Oryzias latipes: one gene and its partners. The protein of the gene in region 3 binds, or shares a complex with, the protein of the main gene of each other region. Links are inferred from orthologs where the notes say so. Each region holds a gene or a part of one and is shown on either strand. Other genes may lie near its edges.

The links.
Region 1: the proteins of polr1b (region 3) and polr1e are in contact, whole or in part, in a cryo-EM structure (PDB 8A43), measured with the Homo sapiens proteins. The link is inferred for Oryzias latipes from reciprocal best matches to the Homo sapiens genes POLR1B and POLR1E. Residues at the interface, in NP_061887.2 of Homo sapiens: Lys254, Ser258, Phe259, Ser260, Tyr262, Gln263, Gln266, Ser295, Thr296, Gln297, Ser338, Thr340, Glu341, Ala532, Cys535, Pro541, Ile542, Asp543, Gly544; in NP_071935.1 of Homo sapiens: Gln27, Ser29, Asn30, Gly31, Tyr69, Thr76, Leu79, Lys80, Cys81, Leu84, Cys85, Met109, Gln110, Pro111, Leu112, Phe113.
Region 2: polr1b (region 3) and twistnb share a complex: the UniProt entries of both Homo sapiens proteins name them as parts of the RNA polymerase I (Pol I) complex. The link is inferred for Oryzias latipes from reciprocal best matches to the Homo sapiens genes POLR1B and POLR1F.

What each region holds. Positions count from the first base shown.
Region 1 is NC_019859.2:12,630,291-12,636,637, forward strand, and holds polr1e (DNA-directed RNA polymerase I subunit RPA49), read right to left. Parts: upstream 3,695-6,347; 5' UTR 3,680-3,694; coding exon 3,650-3,679; intron 3,440-3,649; coding exon 3,361-3,439; intron 3,160-3,360; coding exon 3,056-3,159; intron 2,773-3,055; coding exon 2,696-2,772; intron 2,605-2,695; coding exon 2,519-2,604; intron 2,437-2,518; coding exon 2,381-2,436; intron 2,307-2,380; coding exon 2,162-2,306; intron 2,039-2,161; coding exon 1,928-2,038; intron 1,813-1,927; coding exon 1,716-1,812; intron 1,633-1,715; coding exon 1,502-1,632; intron 1,368-1,501; coding exon 1,286-1,367; intron 1,203-1,285; coding exon 1,071-1,202; intron 579-1,070; coding exon 413-578; 3' UTR 323-412; downstream 1-322. Other genes in the region: zinc finger and BTB domain-containing protein 5-like, read left to right, coding at 5,049-5,258, 5,328-6,158, 6,314-6,347. UniProt on the Homo sapiens protein: Component of RNA polymerase I (Pol I), a DNA-dependent RNA polymerase which synthesizes ribosomal RNA precursors using the four ribonucleoside triphosphates as substrates.
Region 2 is NC_019869.2:9,792,630-9,798,776, reverse strand, and holds the start of twistnb (DNA-directed RNA polymerase I subunit RPA43), read right to left. Parts: upstream 3,695-6,147; 5' UTR 3,654-3,694; coding exon 3,358-3,653; intron 781-3,357; coding exon 639-780; intron 525-638; coding exon 316-524; intron 1-315. UniProt on the Homo sapiens protein: Component of RNA polymerase I (Pol I), a DNA-dependent RNA polymerase which synthesizes ribosomal RNA precursors using the four ribonucleoside triphosphates as substrates.
Region 3 is NC_019873.2:3,643,757-3,648,210, forward strand, and holds the end of polr1b (DNA-directed RNA polymerase I subunit RPA2), read right to left. Parts: coding exon 4,354-4,454; intron 4,254-4,353; coding exon 4,097-4,253; intron 4,004-4,096; coding exon 3,807-4,003; intron 3,325-3,806; coding exon 3,074-3,324; intron 3,000-3,073; coding exon 2,117-2,999; 3' UTR 1,550-2,116; downstream 1-1,549. UniProt on the Homo sapiens protein: Catalytic core component of RNA polymerase I (Pol I), a DNA-dependent RNA polymerase which synthesizes ribosomal RNA precursors using the four ribonucleoside triphosphates as substrates.

The sequences.
Region 1 (6,347 bases), on a different chromosome or scaffold from region 3:
AATGAAGCTTCTGCCTCTTGCACAGAGCTGCTGTTTCCTGCTGAGTCTGTGGTTCACTTACTGACTTCTGTGACATTACGTTTCAGTGGGAAGTTGTCAAGTCATTCAAGACACTTTTGTGTTGCACAATGACAACCACAGGCTTGCTTGGTAACAACCAGACAAAGAAGGACAAAAATGTTCAGTGTGCAATATGTTCTGTCTACAATTAAAAAAAAAAAAATGTGCCTACATGTAAGGTGGTGGTTCTGTCATCTAGACGTTTACAACTTGGTTGCTTTTTTTCTATCTTCAAATGTACGAGTCAAATAATTTCATGTACAACTCAAATGATTTGATTTATTAAAGTATTTTGTAAACAAATACAGAGAGTTTTGTGTCTTTTTTCTCTCCACACATCCTACTTTGAATTTCAGTGCATTTTCTTGCGCTTCCGTCTCTCGACAAACTTATCGTATTTGATCAGAGGCAGAACAAGTGAGGCGTATCTGTGTTCGTCCTGTAGCTGTGCTTCATCTCCTTTACCGCGGGCTGGCTTGCTTATGGTTAAACCCATCGACTTTGCAATCTCCAGCATCCTGTAGGGAAACAAGAATCATTCTTTAGTGGCAGAACAACAATATTACCTTGTTAAAGACCCACTCCAATAAAATGTTTTTGGTGTTTTTAGCCCTAATCTTCTAAAAAAAAAAAAAAAAAACTGCACTCTAAGGACCGGCTCCTCCAAATCCAAAAAAACAGCGAGTGACATCAAGAAGTGAGGAACAGCCCCTTCCAGGAACAGTCTGTGCTGCCAGCACCGCCCCCAGGCTTACAGACACACCCACTTTCTCAGCGGAGCTAGTGGTAAACAGCAAAGCGCTTTCATTTTATGTACAGAATATGCATATCCATCTTTGCAAATGTTGGGACATGCTGCCAAGTCCGACCCTAGGTTGTCATAAAATGTGCGAAACCCACACAGAGAGAAAGGTGGTGCCTCAGAGAGAGTCGTCTTATGTTCGGGTTGGAAAATCAGTTGGTAAAATAACTAAGATGTTTTAAAGGGAGAGAATTTGGGGTTTTTGTACCTGGCCTCATTGATTTCCAGGTCACGGTGAAGCAGTGAGAGGTTAACAGTCATGTCACCCAAATGCAGCAACAGAGCCAGACTGTGAGCTGCTATTTTGGCCCGCATTGATGTCGACACAATGTTCTGGACCCTAAAAGGAGAACACAAAACACATTTGTCAGCTTTTTTTTTTTTTAAACCTTAACAAAAGAGGGGGTACTGTCGCATACACACCTGCCATTATTGTATGTCTCCACTGTAAATGTTCGGAGAATTTTACTTTGAATGACACGAGGACAACCTTCCTCAGTCCAAACTGCAAACAAAAACGGGTGGAATAGAAAAAGCATCATACATTACAAAACTTTAGGGGCAGGGCATTTTAACGTGTTGATCAGCGATATTTAGAATCTACTACTTCAATAACTGAGATTCCAAAATTCTGCTCACATTTGCGAGTGACAATCTTCTGATGGGCAAGTTTGATGAGGAGAGACAGGTAAAAAGCGCAGCGAGCAGTTTTCTCTCTAGGTTCACTTGCGGATGGCATGTTCTCCAGGTGCTTCATCACACACAGATTCCTTTGGTAAGAAATAGAGAAATATTTCAATTCAATAATAAGTAAATAAGGCTAATAAGACAAAAATGCTCTCTGCTACCATACCCTCTTTGGTCTTTCAACTTCTGCAGCTCCTCTTGGCTTAGTGCCGTCATCTTTTGACCGTTCGGCTCCAAAGCAGCAAATTCTACTGGACTCAGTACTGTTGAAGTCAAATTAAGGATGGAGAAAAGTGCTGCTTTTGCTCGAACTACATATGCATGTAATTTCCAATATCTGTTCAAATTGGGGGTGGGGGGGTAATGTTAAAAAGATACGCTCTTCAAAGGGGTAGACATCTTCTTTTTTGTCTGCATCTGCATTGCAGGGAGGTAGGTGTAACGACAGGGCTCCTTGAGACTCTGTTTCAGCTACTTCCTGTTGCAGAGCTAACAAGAAAAAAAGGGGGAAAAAAACATGTAGTAAAAAAAAAATGATGGCAAGTCCAGTATGAATTTGAGTTATATTTTCTTGTCTAGATTACTCCAAAAGGCTGAAAGCTTCACGCTTACCTTCCAGACCCTTGTTATCAATCACAGTGCTGGCAGCTTCAGCCACTGCATGATGCAGAGCATCACTGCCCACCTGGTTGAGCCTGCGAGAGCTCAGAGCTCGTTTCTGTTTATTCGTGCCAAAGGCCTCAATCAAGGAGTCAACCTTGAGAAAGAAAAAAAAAACATGACTTCACTGTGTGCTTGTTTGTTTCAAAAGAAAGCTTGTTTTTCTCATACCTTTTCCCTGTAGGACAGAGTGGTGTCCTGAGGCTTTGCATCATGTGTTGCCTCTCCTGGTGGAAATTAACTGGCATTACTAAATTGCCCTCCTTTAAAAATCGCTTGTTATTGTTTTGGGGATTGCATTTCTTTTACCTGGTATGACAGGTTGCATGTTGAATAGCTGAGCGCTGTGTATCTCCATCTGCATGGTTTCTTTATTCAAAACTCCAACATAATATCTGAAAATAATTGCATCACAAAACTCATTCGATAAGGATACGAAAGGTCTATATCAAATGTTAATGTATATAAAATGTAATGATAACAAACCTGCAAAGATTATTGCATTTCATTAAATCTTCTCCAAAATTCTGCCCGACATAAGACAACCTGTCTGATTCAGCAACCTAAATGGAACAGACAACTGTTACATATTTAATGAATGCGAATCTGTCATTTTTGTTTAATTATTATGGTATAATGTACGTGTGTGTGGTTGTAAATATATGGATATGCATCTCTTATAACATTTTTTATTTTACAATCAAAAAATGACAAACCATCTTAAGTTTGATAAACATATGAGTGGATTTGTATTTCTTCTTCAGTGTGATGTTATATTGATTGCTTGAAATATATCAATTCCATGCAAACTATGGTGTGTGCGAGCACGCATGCGCAATTTCTCACCACGATCCGCCTTATCTTTTTCCTCGGATTATTTTCTTCTATGTTCTTGAATGTGGCAAAATCCAGTTCCTCTGCATTGCTGGTGAAACCATTCGAAAATCGGACTGCAAAAAATACAGAGAATGGCGTGTTAATGTTGATTATGTGTGAGAATATTGCCTTGTAACTTTCACGTGTTCTGATTACTCCTGAAAAATGGAATAGTTTTATACACTTGAATGCAACACAGATAACTCAAATACTGACTGTATGCTCGCCTGCTTTAGAGATTATTGTTTCAAAAAGGCTGAGATGAGAATAATTACCTATGATCGCTTTGTCAGACTCCCTTTCCTCCTCGCAGCACACCATCCTGCACGAGGCGGCCATGATTGTTGTTGTGATCTGTGAAAGGAGCGAGAGGACTCACTCATCTGTATTTACGTAAAACGTAACGCTCAGTGAATTTGGTCAATGACGAATTTTTGTCTTTTCTTAAAGCTGTCTAAAAACATTTTTTTTCTAAATACACGTAAATATTATTCACAACACCTGTCTTAATAAAGTAGATATTTAAAACCATTTCGCTCAATAGTTTTCATCCTAGACACTTACGAACGACAGCGACACCCTGTGGTGAATCATTCAAACTGCTGCGCTTTACCTCAACGAGGTCATTTCAATCAAGGTGCAGCAGCGCCACCCTGTGAGTCTGGATGGGGAAAAAAAGCCGTCTGAATAAATGTTCGTATAGATTAAGCAAAACGTGCTGCTTGGTAAGCGCCGGAAACACACCAGATCATCGGTATTATGATATTGTTCTGAAGTTGTATCCTGCTCATCGGTCATCCTAAAGCTAACGACCATCGCAACTCCCTTCTTCTCGACAGTTGAACTACTACGCCGTTCAGACTGTATTGGAGAACTACGAGGAAGTGGCTTAGAGGAGATGTTATGAACACCGCAATGGAAGGGTTAGCCATAGGTAGCTGCACTTGAGGGGACATTTTGTGGGGGAAAGGGTGTCGGCGGAGACGATCTTTTGGGGAGACCTAATGCACCCGCTGGTGCTGCTATATAGCTAGAAGGAGTTGGCTAGCCGCGCGGCTGCTAACGAGACTCACTACTAGCCTCTTCACTTTTTTTCCCTGAATATTTTCTCAATTTTTTTCCTTCGGGGACACACTTTTTGGAAGACTTAAAGGTAATTTGTGCTATTTGACATTTTTAAAATCTAGTATATGTTATTTATTGTTTATAACCCACATGATTGTCCAGTTTAAACTTGCAAGCTATTCTTTAAGGTCTGTTTTGCAGTAACCGAATTCTCTATCATCAAGTTGCGATAAAAAAATATAAAGTTTGGGGAATTTAAAACGACTAATTACCCAAAGTTTTTGAATGTAATAAATGTTACAACACGGTTATCGCATAGTAAGATATTGAATTCTATTTTAGGCCACAGAATTCTATAAAATTAAATCAATTATTCTGAAAAAAAAATTAGCTAGCTTACTTAAATTTCCTTCTTTTGTGTGTGTTATATGTTGAGTCTTTGGAAACGCTTTTAACCAAAGTGACTCACTAGTTTATTACAATCCAAGGCAACGTGAGGTTAAGTGTTTCGCCCAAGGACACTTTTGACTGTGTAGTCTTGGATTTAAACCCCCAATCTACTGACCTTCAAATTCTTTCCTTAGTTATGTCTATGTTAAATAGTCAAAAGGAAGTCAAATGTGTGTGTTTTGCACTGATAATGACATATTGAAGTCAGCCCAAAAAGCCAGAATGTTTCTAAGACTTGTTGTCTTGTTGATTAACTTAACTTCACATTCTGAGTAACTTCACATTCTGAGTGGCTAAACACACCTGATGATCCAGGGAGCAGGGAGAGCTGGGAAACAGTCAAGGTGGTAGATCTGTTGGGCAGCCCCCTGTGAAATCATTGATGTCCACGTCCTTCTCACTTTTGTCTCCTTCTCCTCCTCCTTTGGACTGATTTGTCAGCAGAGCCATGGACTTCCCGGGACACTTTGAGCAGATATTCCAGCAGCTGAACTATCAGCGGCTGCACGGTCAGCTGTGCGACTGCATCATAGTGGTGGGCAGCCGACACTTCAAAGCCCACCGCTCTGTTCTTGCAGCCTGCAGCACCCACTTCAGAGCGCTCTTCACCGTCGCCGAGGGAGATGCTAGCATGAATATGATCCAGCTGGACAGCGAGGTTTGGACCTGAAGCGAGCACTGGCTCTGCTGTGAGTTAATATCATGATAACAAACTGCCTGTTTGCAGGTGGTCACGGCTGAGGCATTTGCTGCCCTGGTGGACATGATGTACACGTCGACGCTGATGCTGGGGGAGAGTAACGTCATGGATATCCTCCTCGCCGCCTCACATTTGCACCTCAACAATGTCGTAAAAGCCTGCAAGCACTACCTAACCACACGCACACTGCCTGTGTCGCCCTCCTCTGAGAGGCCGGCCCATCACCACTCTCAACAGGAGCAGCAAAGGCACAGGCAGCAGCAGGCGGACTTGGGAGGGAACCCAGCTTCAGCGGGTAACACAAGCCTCACAGGAAACGCTGCCACGTCGAAGGTGCAGCGCTCCTTCTTGCTGCAGCAGCTGGGGCTCAGCTTGGTGAGCTCCGCTTTAGGAGGAATGGAGGAAGGCGGCGTGAGCAACAGAGCGGTCGACCAGCGGGCCTCATTCCCAGTCCGTCGATTCCACAAACGAAAGCCGTCTCTAGCGCTGACAATTTCAGAGGAGAGACCCAGACAAAGGCAGCGGACCTCAGGGGGCGCCAACCTAGGTTTGTTGGAGGAAGACGGCGAAAATGCAGATCAGGATGAAGCAGCGCTTCATTCGCCGGACTCCCACAAACCGGGGGATGATTCTAAGCTAGGCGCCGGCATCACAGGGTTTGTAGCTGTGGCTCAAGATGACCCTCAGATGCCGAGTCAGTCAGACAGTGGACGCTCTGAAGGGGAGAACTCGGTGAGGATTCCAGGAGGAGTAAACAAGGAAGAGGACATGGGTGACCAGGATCAGCAGGCCAGCAGAGCCACTGTAAAAATAAAGTCAGGGAACGAGGAAGAGCAGGGGGAAGATGAAGAGCGGAAGGTAAAAAGGATGCACATAAAGTTTTTTTCTTATTAGTTTCCAGTTTTTCCTTTTTGGGGGGGATTTTAATGTTTCTACATAATATTCGTTTTTTTCCTTCGGTAAACAGCTCAACTTTCATCACAGTGGAAACATTTTTTAATTTTTTTTGTCAGGTGGTGGTCAAGCGAGAGGTTCTCAGCTCACCTG
Region 2 (6,147 bases), on a different chromosome or scaffold from region 3:
AACATGGAAATAGTGCCAAGTCTAGTGCTACCATTGAGTTTGGATAGACTACAAGATCAGCCTAAATGTTCACTAGTCAGAGAAAACTCACTCAGATATTCCTAGAATGCTTTCTACAAGTTCTCCTTTATAAGCTGACAGTAATCATGTCACATTAAAGTCACATCCTTGTTTTTCCAGCTGTTAGTGTAATGGTAGCACACCAGTGAGCTACCATTACACATCCAATATGGCGTCCAACTCTGTGCACGCAACAAGCTAGCGAGGCGACTCTAGCCTAAATATGTCATTAGAAAAAACGTCCACATTTGATACCTGGTCTTGAGCAGACGTCCTCTGATCAGAAGCACCCCAGCAGCGTCCGCATCCAGAGCTGTCACCTCAAACTCCAGCTCCGACCCGATCTTGGGCCCCGCATCCCTCCAGGTTTCCACAGAGACGAGATTTGGTTTTGGGATGCTGGCATTGAAACAGCCGTGCACAAGACAGCCAACATGGCTCACTCCTAGTTTATTTACTTTACCCTGCGGGAAATAGAGCATCTGTTCATGCTGTAGTATGTCTGCATTATTCTCTAAACAAAGCTTCAGCTCCTCTGCAAATATAATAGCTTTTACCAAAGAAAAACAAAAACATACCAGGAGTTTCTGCCCTTTTTTGGGTTGAAATACAACAAAATTGGCCTCTATGTCCATGTGAATGTAGCCGCTGTCATCGTAGATGTCTCCATGTCTGCCCACTATCCGGATGTTGTCATAAGCCAGGGGTACTCCGTTCAGACTGCAAGGCACATGTACACATAGCTGAGAAAAGTTGTGTCACAGCCAGACGAACAAACATCAGCTGACTGGAATAAACTAAACAAGAAGGTAAATACCTAGACAAAATGTTCTGTGTGGTCCTAGTACCTAAAACTGTCCATCCCAAAGAACCCAGAGGGGATCATACTCCACCATCTTAACCCAGTGCCCAACGCTCTTGGAGGATGGCACTCTCCAGGTTCTCTGGACAACATTCAGGGCTCTCAGGTATCTCTTAAATACCGGATTCTTTAAGGTAAACTTAAGGTATGTTAAAGGCATCCCCAACCCCTGGGCGGTAGACCGGTACCAGTTTGTTGGACAAATGGTACCGGGCCGCAGAGAAAAAAACAGGACCTCCATTATTTCTGTTTTATTTAGTTCTGGGTGAAGTTTTATTTTAAAAATCTACTGGATTCTTCACCGCATCCAACTCATTCTTCAAGTCGCTTGGTTGCGTGTTGAAAATCCATCGATACTTTCTTAAAGCGTGCGCAAACTGCAGCCCCGAAGCTAGCACAGTTAGCAAAAAACAAACACATTTGGAAAGTTTCTTTTTGCAGAGAAGAGCCAGTGAGGAAACAGAAGACGATCCTTTGACTTCAAAATAAAAAAACAGCAGCATTTAACAGAAAAAAAAGGATTTATTGTGACAGTTGTTCCCACAGACAATAATAATAATACATAACATTCAACAACCAGCGGTCTAATATTACGAGGATGCTGCTAATAAAGTTGTTCAAATGGTGGATTCCCATTTATAATCATATTTAAAAATAAAACACTTTTTTTTAAATTTATCAATTGCACCATAAAAGTCGGATGAGGGTGAGGTTGGCGCTGACAGCAGCTCCACGGCGGCGGAGTAAGACGGTACCTATGTTCACGTGACTACTGCTGGTTAGTAAGCATAAAGTGGATTTCCATCTTTATGCAGACGACTGCCAAATCTTTGTTGCTATGCGCAAATGTCCCGACTGTTCAGGCAACAACTGGACGGCCAAGTGGATGTCGGCTAACTTCTTTGGGCTTAATGAAACAAAAACTGCAGTAATTATGTTTTCCCGTCGTGGTCGAAAGGATCGCGGTCTTCATCTCCTCTCGCTCGCCCCGTTTCAACAGTCTGTGGTCTATAACCTAGGCGTGAAACTCGATGCTACCTTGAAAGTGGACCTCCAAATAAAGGCTGTAACCAGGTCCTGCTTTTTTCAGCTGCAGCGTTTGGCGAGGATTATGGTTTTTTTATCCAAATTAGATTTTGTAATTGTGTAGCATCTTCTGTGTAGTCAAGGCTAAATTATTGCAGCTCCTTATATGCGGTGTCCCGCAATAGCGAGGCTGCAGCTAGTTCAAAATGCAGCCGGCAGATTTATTCGTGGTACAAAGAAATCTGAGCGCATTACCCCAATCCTGGTCTCCTTAAACTGACTGCCCATGCAATCGTTTTTTTTTTTAAAAAGAAAAAGAAAATTCCTGTTTTTGTTTTTGTCATTAGCAGGTACGGCATCTTCTTACCTAGTCTGCTTTTAAAATATTCTCCCCTCGAGTTCTTGTGCTCTGCTGACCAGTGTGTGTTACTATTGTGAGAACCACATGTAAGTTCTAAAGGGATTGTGCGTTGACTCAACATCCACCGGCTAACAGAGAGGTTACACTCTTGGAGAGCTTTAAAGCCAAACTGTTCCTCCACCATCACGCCGCTGTCTCTGCCTAGCTGCCTTTTTGTTATGTTGGTTTCAATCTCTGTTTTTATACTTATATGATGTATTCTACCTTCCCTGTGTACAGCACTTTGGGTCTACGAGGCTGGGGGTGGAAGGTACTCTAGGAATGAATACATGAAATGTAAATGTCCTTTTCAGCCAAAATGATAATAAAAATAACAAGCTTTTTTCAACAGCATTTTTTCGACAATGCTGAAGTTGGCTTCTGATTCACAGCTTCTGATTCGCGGGAGCACTAAAGAAACATTCCACTGCACTTTTCACACAGCGGTTTCTGAACAGGACCTGGTCTGAGGTGGACTCTGTGCGTAAAATGCGATACAAATCATTCTTTCACATTTTTACAAATCGGAAGAAGGTTTAATAAATCAGAACCTGCGTTTAATGCATTCTTAACTATCTAATGTATAATTTAATCCAGGTTTGAGGGGTCCAGGTCCAGCGGTGTTTTAACAGGGACCGGTTTTAGGTGATCTTAGCCCGAGAAATGCATTGAATGTTTCTTTAGTGCCCTCGCGAATCGGAAGCCAACTTCAGCATCATGTTTTTTCGTCTGCTCCTGATGATTCACAACAATTAGATTAAAAAATACTTAAAAAAGCCGTTTTAATACCAATTTTCCTTAAGATATGTCCTCCAACGTGAGAAAAATGTGACAAGAACATGTTTGAAAAAGAATTTTCATTGGAGTGCGTCTTAATGAATCATCTTAAAATTGATCCGGACACAGACAGATATTTATTGTGTTGTAGTTCATTTGGATGGATGGATAAAGTCTCTTTTTTTTTAACGCGCTTCATCTTCACAGACTCCACTAAAGGATGTCGGGGTACCTCTGGGAGAACTTCAGGAGCTCCGCTTCCAGCTCCTCCTGGATTCCGCTTCTCTTCTTGTGGAGGTAGACCGGCGGGAGGACGACGTGCCTCCTGCGGGGGTTCATCACCAGGCAGGAGTACGGCGCTGACAGCAGCTCCACGGCGGCGGAGTAAGACGGGACCAAACACGGAGCACCGCCCGCAGCTTTTTCTGCAGCTGCGGACGCTGGATCCACCGGAATCGAGCCAGAGACGGCAAGAGGTTCAGCCGACATTTTCACGTGTTTTGGTTCGGCGTGGATCAGGTTCTCCATGCTGCGTGAGAAGACCGGAAAACAAACAAGTCGTAGTTTCCGGAAAGAGGATCGACCTGCCACCAACCGAAGTTTAACATTTATGCGTATGTTGCCCTCTGCTGGTGAGGCGGTGAAACTACAGCATGAAATATGAAGCATGAGCAGAAACGTAGTCTTTTATTTTTATTTTTTATTTTTATAAATAAATGTTTCATTCTTGTTTCATTAATGTGGACTGGAATCATCAAAGCCAAAGTGGGACTATTCCCAAACAGAATGAAAGATGTTTAGAGGCAGGTAACTGAGTGCTGGGAGGAGGCGCATTACCTGGAGGTACACCGCCATTTGGAGACACAGAGTGAATGAACATGCTTCACCCTTCCCGAGGTCGAGCATGCAAGTTGCTTCCAAAGATCTTTATTAGCACCACTGTAGCCCAGACACCAGTGTTTTTTTCTTTATAAAAAAATACTTCTATTTGTTTATTTTGCATGATTGTGTGTTCTTTTAAATCTGCTCATGGATCTCTTTCCTTTCTGCATGGATAGTGGTCCTGAGTGCAGGACTGCATGGCCATTTAAGGACTGTCAGCTGGGATGAGTGGAGAGCACTGGGCAAAATACTAACCATTCACATTTTTCTCTCTTTATTTTTATTCTAGATGTGTTGTTTTCAAATATATTGTTTTATGAAACCATTTCTTTTAGATTAGACCTGTTTTAACCTGTTTTAACATTTTCAAAGTAAAAGGCCTCTGCTGTCTCTGGTCACTCCAGAGACAGCAGAGACTGCAGATCTGCCGCTTCTCGGCAGATCTAATACTTTGTACTGTAGTTCTGGGGCTTCACCCTCTTAATCTTGATGTCTTCTCTTCCTGCAATAGTGGCAATGACAAGACAGTTGTATAAATATAGGAGAATATTGTGTTATTTATTTCTATAGGAAGACTCCAATGGTCATGCCCTCCCATAGTGTTCTGTCCTTTGTTATGTAATCTGTGGAATGTTATGCAATGGAAGCCTGGTAAAGGTTCTCATTGATTCTGGATCCTCTTCTCAGTGGAAGTGTCACATTAAGATCATTAGGGTGACCTAAAGTGTGAATTTGAGCAGCTGATGAACACTCTGTCTTATATTAAACATGCGGTACTTTCAGAAACATAAAGACAGAAGCAAATCTACACTGCAAAAACAAAAACTAGTACAAAAATATATTTTTGTACTTGACATGAGACAAAACTACTTCACAAGTAACTTTTCCGTGTGGTAAAATGACTGGTTTTAAGACAACATATCCTGAACATTTTGTAGAAAATGTTTTGTTTTAAGTAATATCGCTAAAAAAACTATTTTTTGACTCATAATGTTCTTTTAATCTTGACAACTTTATCTTAGAATGTTTGATTCTAGTCTACAGCTCTTAAAGTAGGATTTTTTAGGGGGAGAAGTAGCATGTCCTGTAGGTTTACCCATCAATGTACCTACTTTACAGAAGTGAAAGGGTTTTAAAAGCAACACACGCTTTTTTAAAGACACAATATTTCCAGTTATCAAAGCAATATAACTAATTCAGGACAACATGCCTTATTTTAAGAAATCTTTCCAAGACAAATTCTACCAGTTTCTATTGACAGATTTCACTTATAAAAAAACAAAAAAACATCTTGTATTCTATTTTATTTAACCTGCTTTGAGAAGGATATTAGTTGCAGTGTTTTCTCAAAGAGTACACTCCAAATTATTTGATCCTTGCAGAGATTTAAAACTTAGTTTTTAGACAGTCAAGCTATTTTATCAGGTTTTAATTATTTTAACTTCTCTTTGCTCTTCACCCTTCTAGGTTAATCTTAAAATCAGTACAGAGGAAAATGTTTGTCTCATTAGGAGATAAGATTTAGAAATGAGGAAGGTATTATGAAAGCGAGTCAAAATCCTTTTGCTCCATACGCTCGACAGCAGAAAAACTTGCTTTAAGACAAAAGAAACTCAGATTGACATTCGAATGCATTTTATTTAGATTTTAAAATTTAGATTTATGTTCTAAGATTAATTGCTTATTTTACATTTGATGTATTAAGATGGGCCAACTTTTACTAAAATCTTGTTCTCATTTTTTCCCCCCATTTGCTCTAAAATGAGTCGTTTCCACTAAATGAACCAGTTTTTTTTTACCACTGTAAGTTAAGATGAACTACAATTAGGTACAGAAAAACTCAAAAAATTCAAACCATTTGCTTTGAACTAGCAAAAAATTACTTAATATTGGGCTGTATAATGTTCAATTTGAAGTAATTCTATCAATATTATTATTTTTTTTCCTAGTTTTAGGCCCCTGTTCTAGGTGTTGTGTCACAGGAGGTCACATGATTCAGCATTTCTCCCTGCAGATGTGGTGTTTTGATTTTGTTTTTGGGTGGGGCATGGCCCCACTTCTGTGTGCTGTCAAGGTGATAAATAGAGACGCGGGTTCTTAGTCAGAAATAGACCCCACAGCTTTAAATGCTGGGGGACTT
Region 3 (4,454 bases):
GTATTTGTCTGCGGCTCATCTGTTCCTACAGTACAGACCAAAGGTTTGGACACAGCTTCCCATTCATTTGAATGCGAAGGTGTGTCCAAACTTTTGGTCTGTGCTGTATGTTCGTACTCTGTTTACGCCGACTACGGTGGCCATTTTGGTTCAGTTGTTCTGCTCCCAGGACGGATCATACTCAAACTGAGGAATCAAACCGAATCTCAGTCAATTTGGAAACAAACCGAGACCCCCTCCAAAGACGGGTCCGAGAGTGGTTTCTGGTCCCGGACCAGGGTCTACTTTGGTGTATTCAGACTGAAAATTTCTTTTGGACCATGGTGGAAAACAAACTCTGCTTTACTTTAACCCTTGTGCTATCTTAGATGACCCCACCCTTACATTGACGTGTTCTCCCTACCATGACAAAGGTGGATAAAGGTGGAAAGATTTCATGTCATCCATGGACACCAGTGAAGATCACAATTCATTGAAGAAAAAAGGTTCAGAGCACTGTCTAGTGGGTCTAGATGACCCAACTCCCAATGTTGAAGTGCCTAGGATAGCACAAGGGTTACGCGAACCAAACATCTAAAAAAAAAAACACCCTCAGACCATAGTGGGGTTTTTTTTTAAACGCTAATTGGAGAGCCTGAGTGCTACTAAGTTACTACAGTCTTTCTGGCTAAATGTCTTCTCAAGATTTGACATTGAGGTGTTTTAGGAGGATTTGAAGAGTGACATGAAATTAAAGTTAAGTAAAAGAAAAAGCTATTTGGTTGAAGAATCAGATTACGATTCTTCTAAAAAAAAGCTGAAAATTTTGATAATTGTAAGAGTTGAATAGAAGCAGCTCAATCTAGAAAATTGTATGGACAAAAGAAAAACGGCAGGAGTTCAATAAGAATTCAACTCTCAATTGTGGGCGGGATTGTTGGCATGGAGTGAGCCTGCCTAATTTCCCATCAACCCTTTGTTTACACCTTCCCACTAGCTTACAGCCCCTCACACCAAGCTAACATTAGCAGTGCAACAAAAATGTCCATCAATATCAGATCTGTCCACCTGTCCAGTTCTAATCCAGATTCTAGCTCAGACCAAGAAAACAAAGACGTTCATGGATAATGATCAGAATGGAGCAGAGCAGGAAGACTGTGACCTGCCAATTGCAGGTTTTACATTACAGCTAGAAGAGTTTTCAAATGGCATTTTGTCATCTGCTCCTGATTCATAACAAACTGAATAAAGAAGTTATCATAAGGTGCTGTTGAAAACATCCTTTTTCTAGCAGGGGTAAAGATGGAGGCAACATTGACCCGGGATGTCCTCAAAGGCTGAACACACCTGATCCAGGTGGCTGTAAGGGAACGACAGCTGGAACCGCACTGGGGTGTCTGCCCTCGCTTAACAAAGACTTCTGTTACAAATAGATTCCAGACGATTGACACGCTTTTGACAAATTCCTTTTTCCAGATCTTTCCTTGTGGTCATCCAGTGTTAAGAGCAGGAATAGAGACGTTCCTCTGTTCTCTCACTATCCTGTGGGGAATACAGACTCTTGGGAACATTCTTCTTCCAATGGGATGTCACTGTGTGGCACCTTTTATTAAAACCTTTTCATGTGAATTAATGGTTCAGTTCCAACATGAGCCTAAACGGCTCTAAAAGGATAATCATTTAAAAAAAGGATATAAACAAAGTGAGATTTGTAAAACTGCTACAAGCTCCAGCGTTTACATTTCTACCCTTCGATCAACGTGAATCTGCGTATTCTGCTTTGCTCTGATATGTAAGAATTCTACACATATCGGGGAAAAGCCACTTTGGATCGTTCCTGTTTTGAGGGGACGTAAACTTCCGGTTCCGGACTTCCGGTTCTGGCTAGTGATGTCTTGCCGCCATGTTGTCCACAACCAGGTCCTCTTGGCTTTATTGGGAAGAACCTGATGGCGGTCATCAGAACTGACACCCCGTCACAATGAACACTTATGAATTTACGGGATTTGAACTCTGAACTGCATCAAGCAAAGTTCTGATAACAGCATGGTTTTACAGAACTGATTCAGTAGAATTTGACTGAAATGTTTCAAAACCACAGCTAAGGCTTTAAGGCACGTATGTATCCTGCAGCACGTCACTTAACCTCAAGTTTTACTTTGATGTTCATCGCTGCCAGTTCAGCTACAAAGTAGCGGAAGACGTAAGGAACAGACACGGCGTTGATGGAGTCACTTTTGCCACAAAGCGTGCAGAGGGTCTTTCGGTGGCGCATGGCTGACCAGCAGGGCGGAGGCTTCTCCAGCAGCGGGGACAGGAGGCTGCCGCAGTCCACGCACATCTGAGCCTCTGAGCGGTCGGAGCAGTTGAAAAGACGATCGTGAAGGAGGAAGGAGGAGCCATGGGCCAGCAGGGCGTCACGCTCCATCTCTCCAAAGCGGATGCCTCCCTGAATGTTCCTTCCTCCAACGGGCTGGTTGGTGACCTTGTCCCGCGCTCCGGTGGTCCTGACTTGAAATTTGTCAGAGACCATGTGACGCAGCCGCTGGTAGTAGACCACACCGATGAAGATGTCTGCCTCCAGCTCCCGACCGCTCACTCCACTGTAGAGCCGCTCTGTCCCGTAGTAGTTGTACCCCCCCGCCCGGAGCAATTCCCCAAAGTGATCCAGCGCAGAGTTCTCCTCAGAGAAGGTGAAGGGTGTGGCGTCGTGGCTCCGACCATGAAGGGCGGCAGACTTGCCCGCCATGCTCTCGATCAGCATCCCGATGGTCATTCGAGACGGGAAGCCGTGGGGGTTGAACAAGATGTCGGGGGTCATGCCGCTCTCCGTGAAGGGCATGTCCTCAGCGGGCCACAAGCGGCTCAGGATGCCCTTCTGCCCGTGGCGGCTGGCAAACTTGTCACCAATTGTGGGGTTTCGTGGCACTCGGGTGGTAATGCAGATGCGTTTGAACTGGCCTGAGCCGCTGTCGTTGCTGCATATCTTGATGTTGTCCACCACACAGGCCTCCTGGCTTCTACAAACCACACAGAATGGCTTTCACTTCCACTGAGACAAAACATGAAGGGAGCAGAGATTTTTGCCGCTTACTTGTAAAAGTGGACGCAGCTTTGTCCCGTGTTGAGGTTGATGTAGCTGTAAAAGGGGTCACCATACTGAAGCACCGATCCGACACGAGGGAGCCCATCAGCATCGAGCTTGTCGTTTACTTTGGGGTCCCCTGGCTTGGTCCCAAACACCACAGCATCTTCCCCCCTCACTTTGTCTGCAAGGTCCACCAATTCTGTCTTGTAGATGCTCCCATGTGCAAAGCCTCTCTCCCACGATGACTTGTTCACAATCTAGTAAGATCAAAGAACGTCAGAATGTAGAGACCCACTCTGAACATCTATTTTCAAAGCATTCCAGGTGGTCTTCAGACTAGGAGGAAGTCATTTTTAGCCTAAATCTAAAAACCAAAGACCAGCAGGAGTTCATCAGAAATTCACCCTGAAGTTGTGGGCGGGACCGCTGGCATAGAGTGACCCTTCCTCCATTTCCCATCATGCCTTTGTTTACACCATCTCAGGCAAACCAATTCCCGTCACAACCCCTAACTAACATTATCAGAGAAACAAAAATGTCGACCAATATCAGAGCTATCCAGCCGTACAGTTTAGAGCCAGATTCCAGCTCAGACGAGGAAAATAAAGACGTTCATGGATCTATCTGTAAGAGGATGATCAGAATGGAGTAGCATCCCTACTGGGAATGCTTTGAAAATAGCTCAAAAGATGATCAAATCCCATCTGTAGAAATGTAAAAACTATTGTGTTGAATTCACCATAGCATCTTCCATGTCGTAGCCGGTGTAGGATATGACGGCGACGATGGCGTTTGTGCCGCTTGGATAGTTGTCCAGATTGTAGTGATCGTACATGTAGGGCCTGACGAGGGCGCTCTGTGGCGTCTGTAGTCGGTACAGCTTATTGTCCGAGCGATCCATAAACGAGTGTAGAGGGAAGCCCATCGTTTGTTTACCTGAAACAAACAGTTTAGGGTCAACAATTTCAGGACTTTGGACTCCAAATTGGTGTTAGCCTTCAATGAACATTTCTGATCCCACCCACTTACCCATCTGACACTGGTACATGTTTCTAGGACTCTGGTTGTGGTCTGAGAAAGGGATGAAGTTTGCCACCACGCTCAGCATACTGTGAGGGAAGAGCTCCTGGTGTGTGGTAACTCCTGCTTCAATCTCCTCTTCTAAAATTCCAACATTGGTGTAAAGCTACGGCAGAAAAGTAAACCCGTTTTACTTGGACAGCTGTCCTCCGATGACCGTCTCGATGGCAAGAATGTCTTTCAACGTGCACCAGCTAAACATATACCTGCTCAAAGGTGCCAATGAACTCCTGTTTGCCAAGAGCCAGGTTTTGAACGGGCCGCATCATCCGGCAAGGTGTTGTGAAGAGGAACAGACCTGGATACA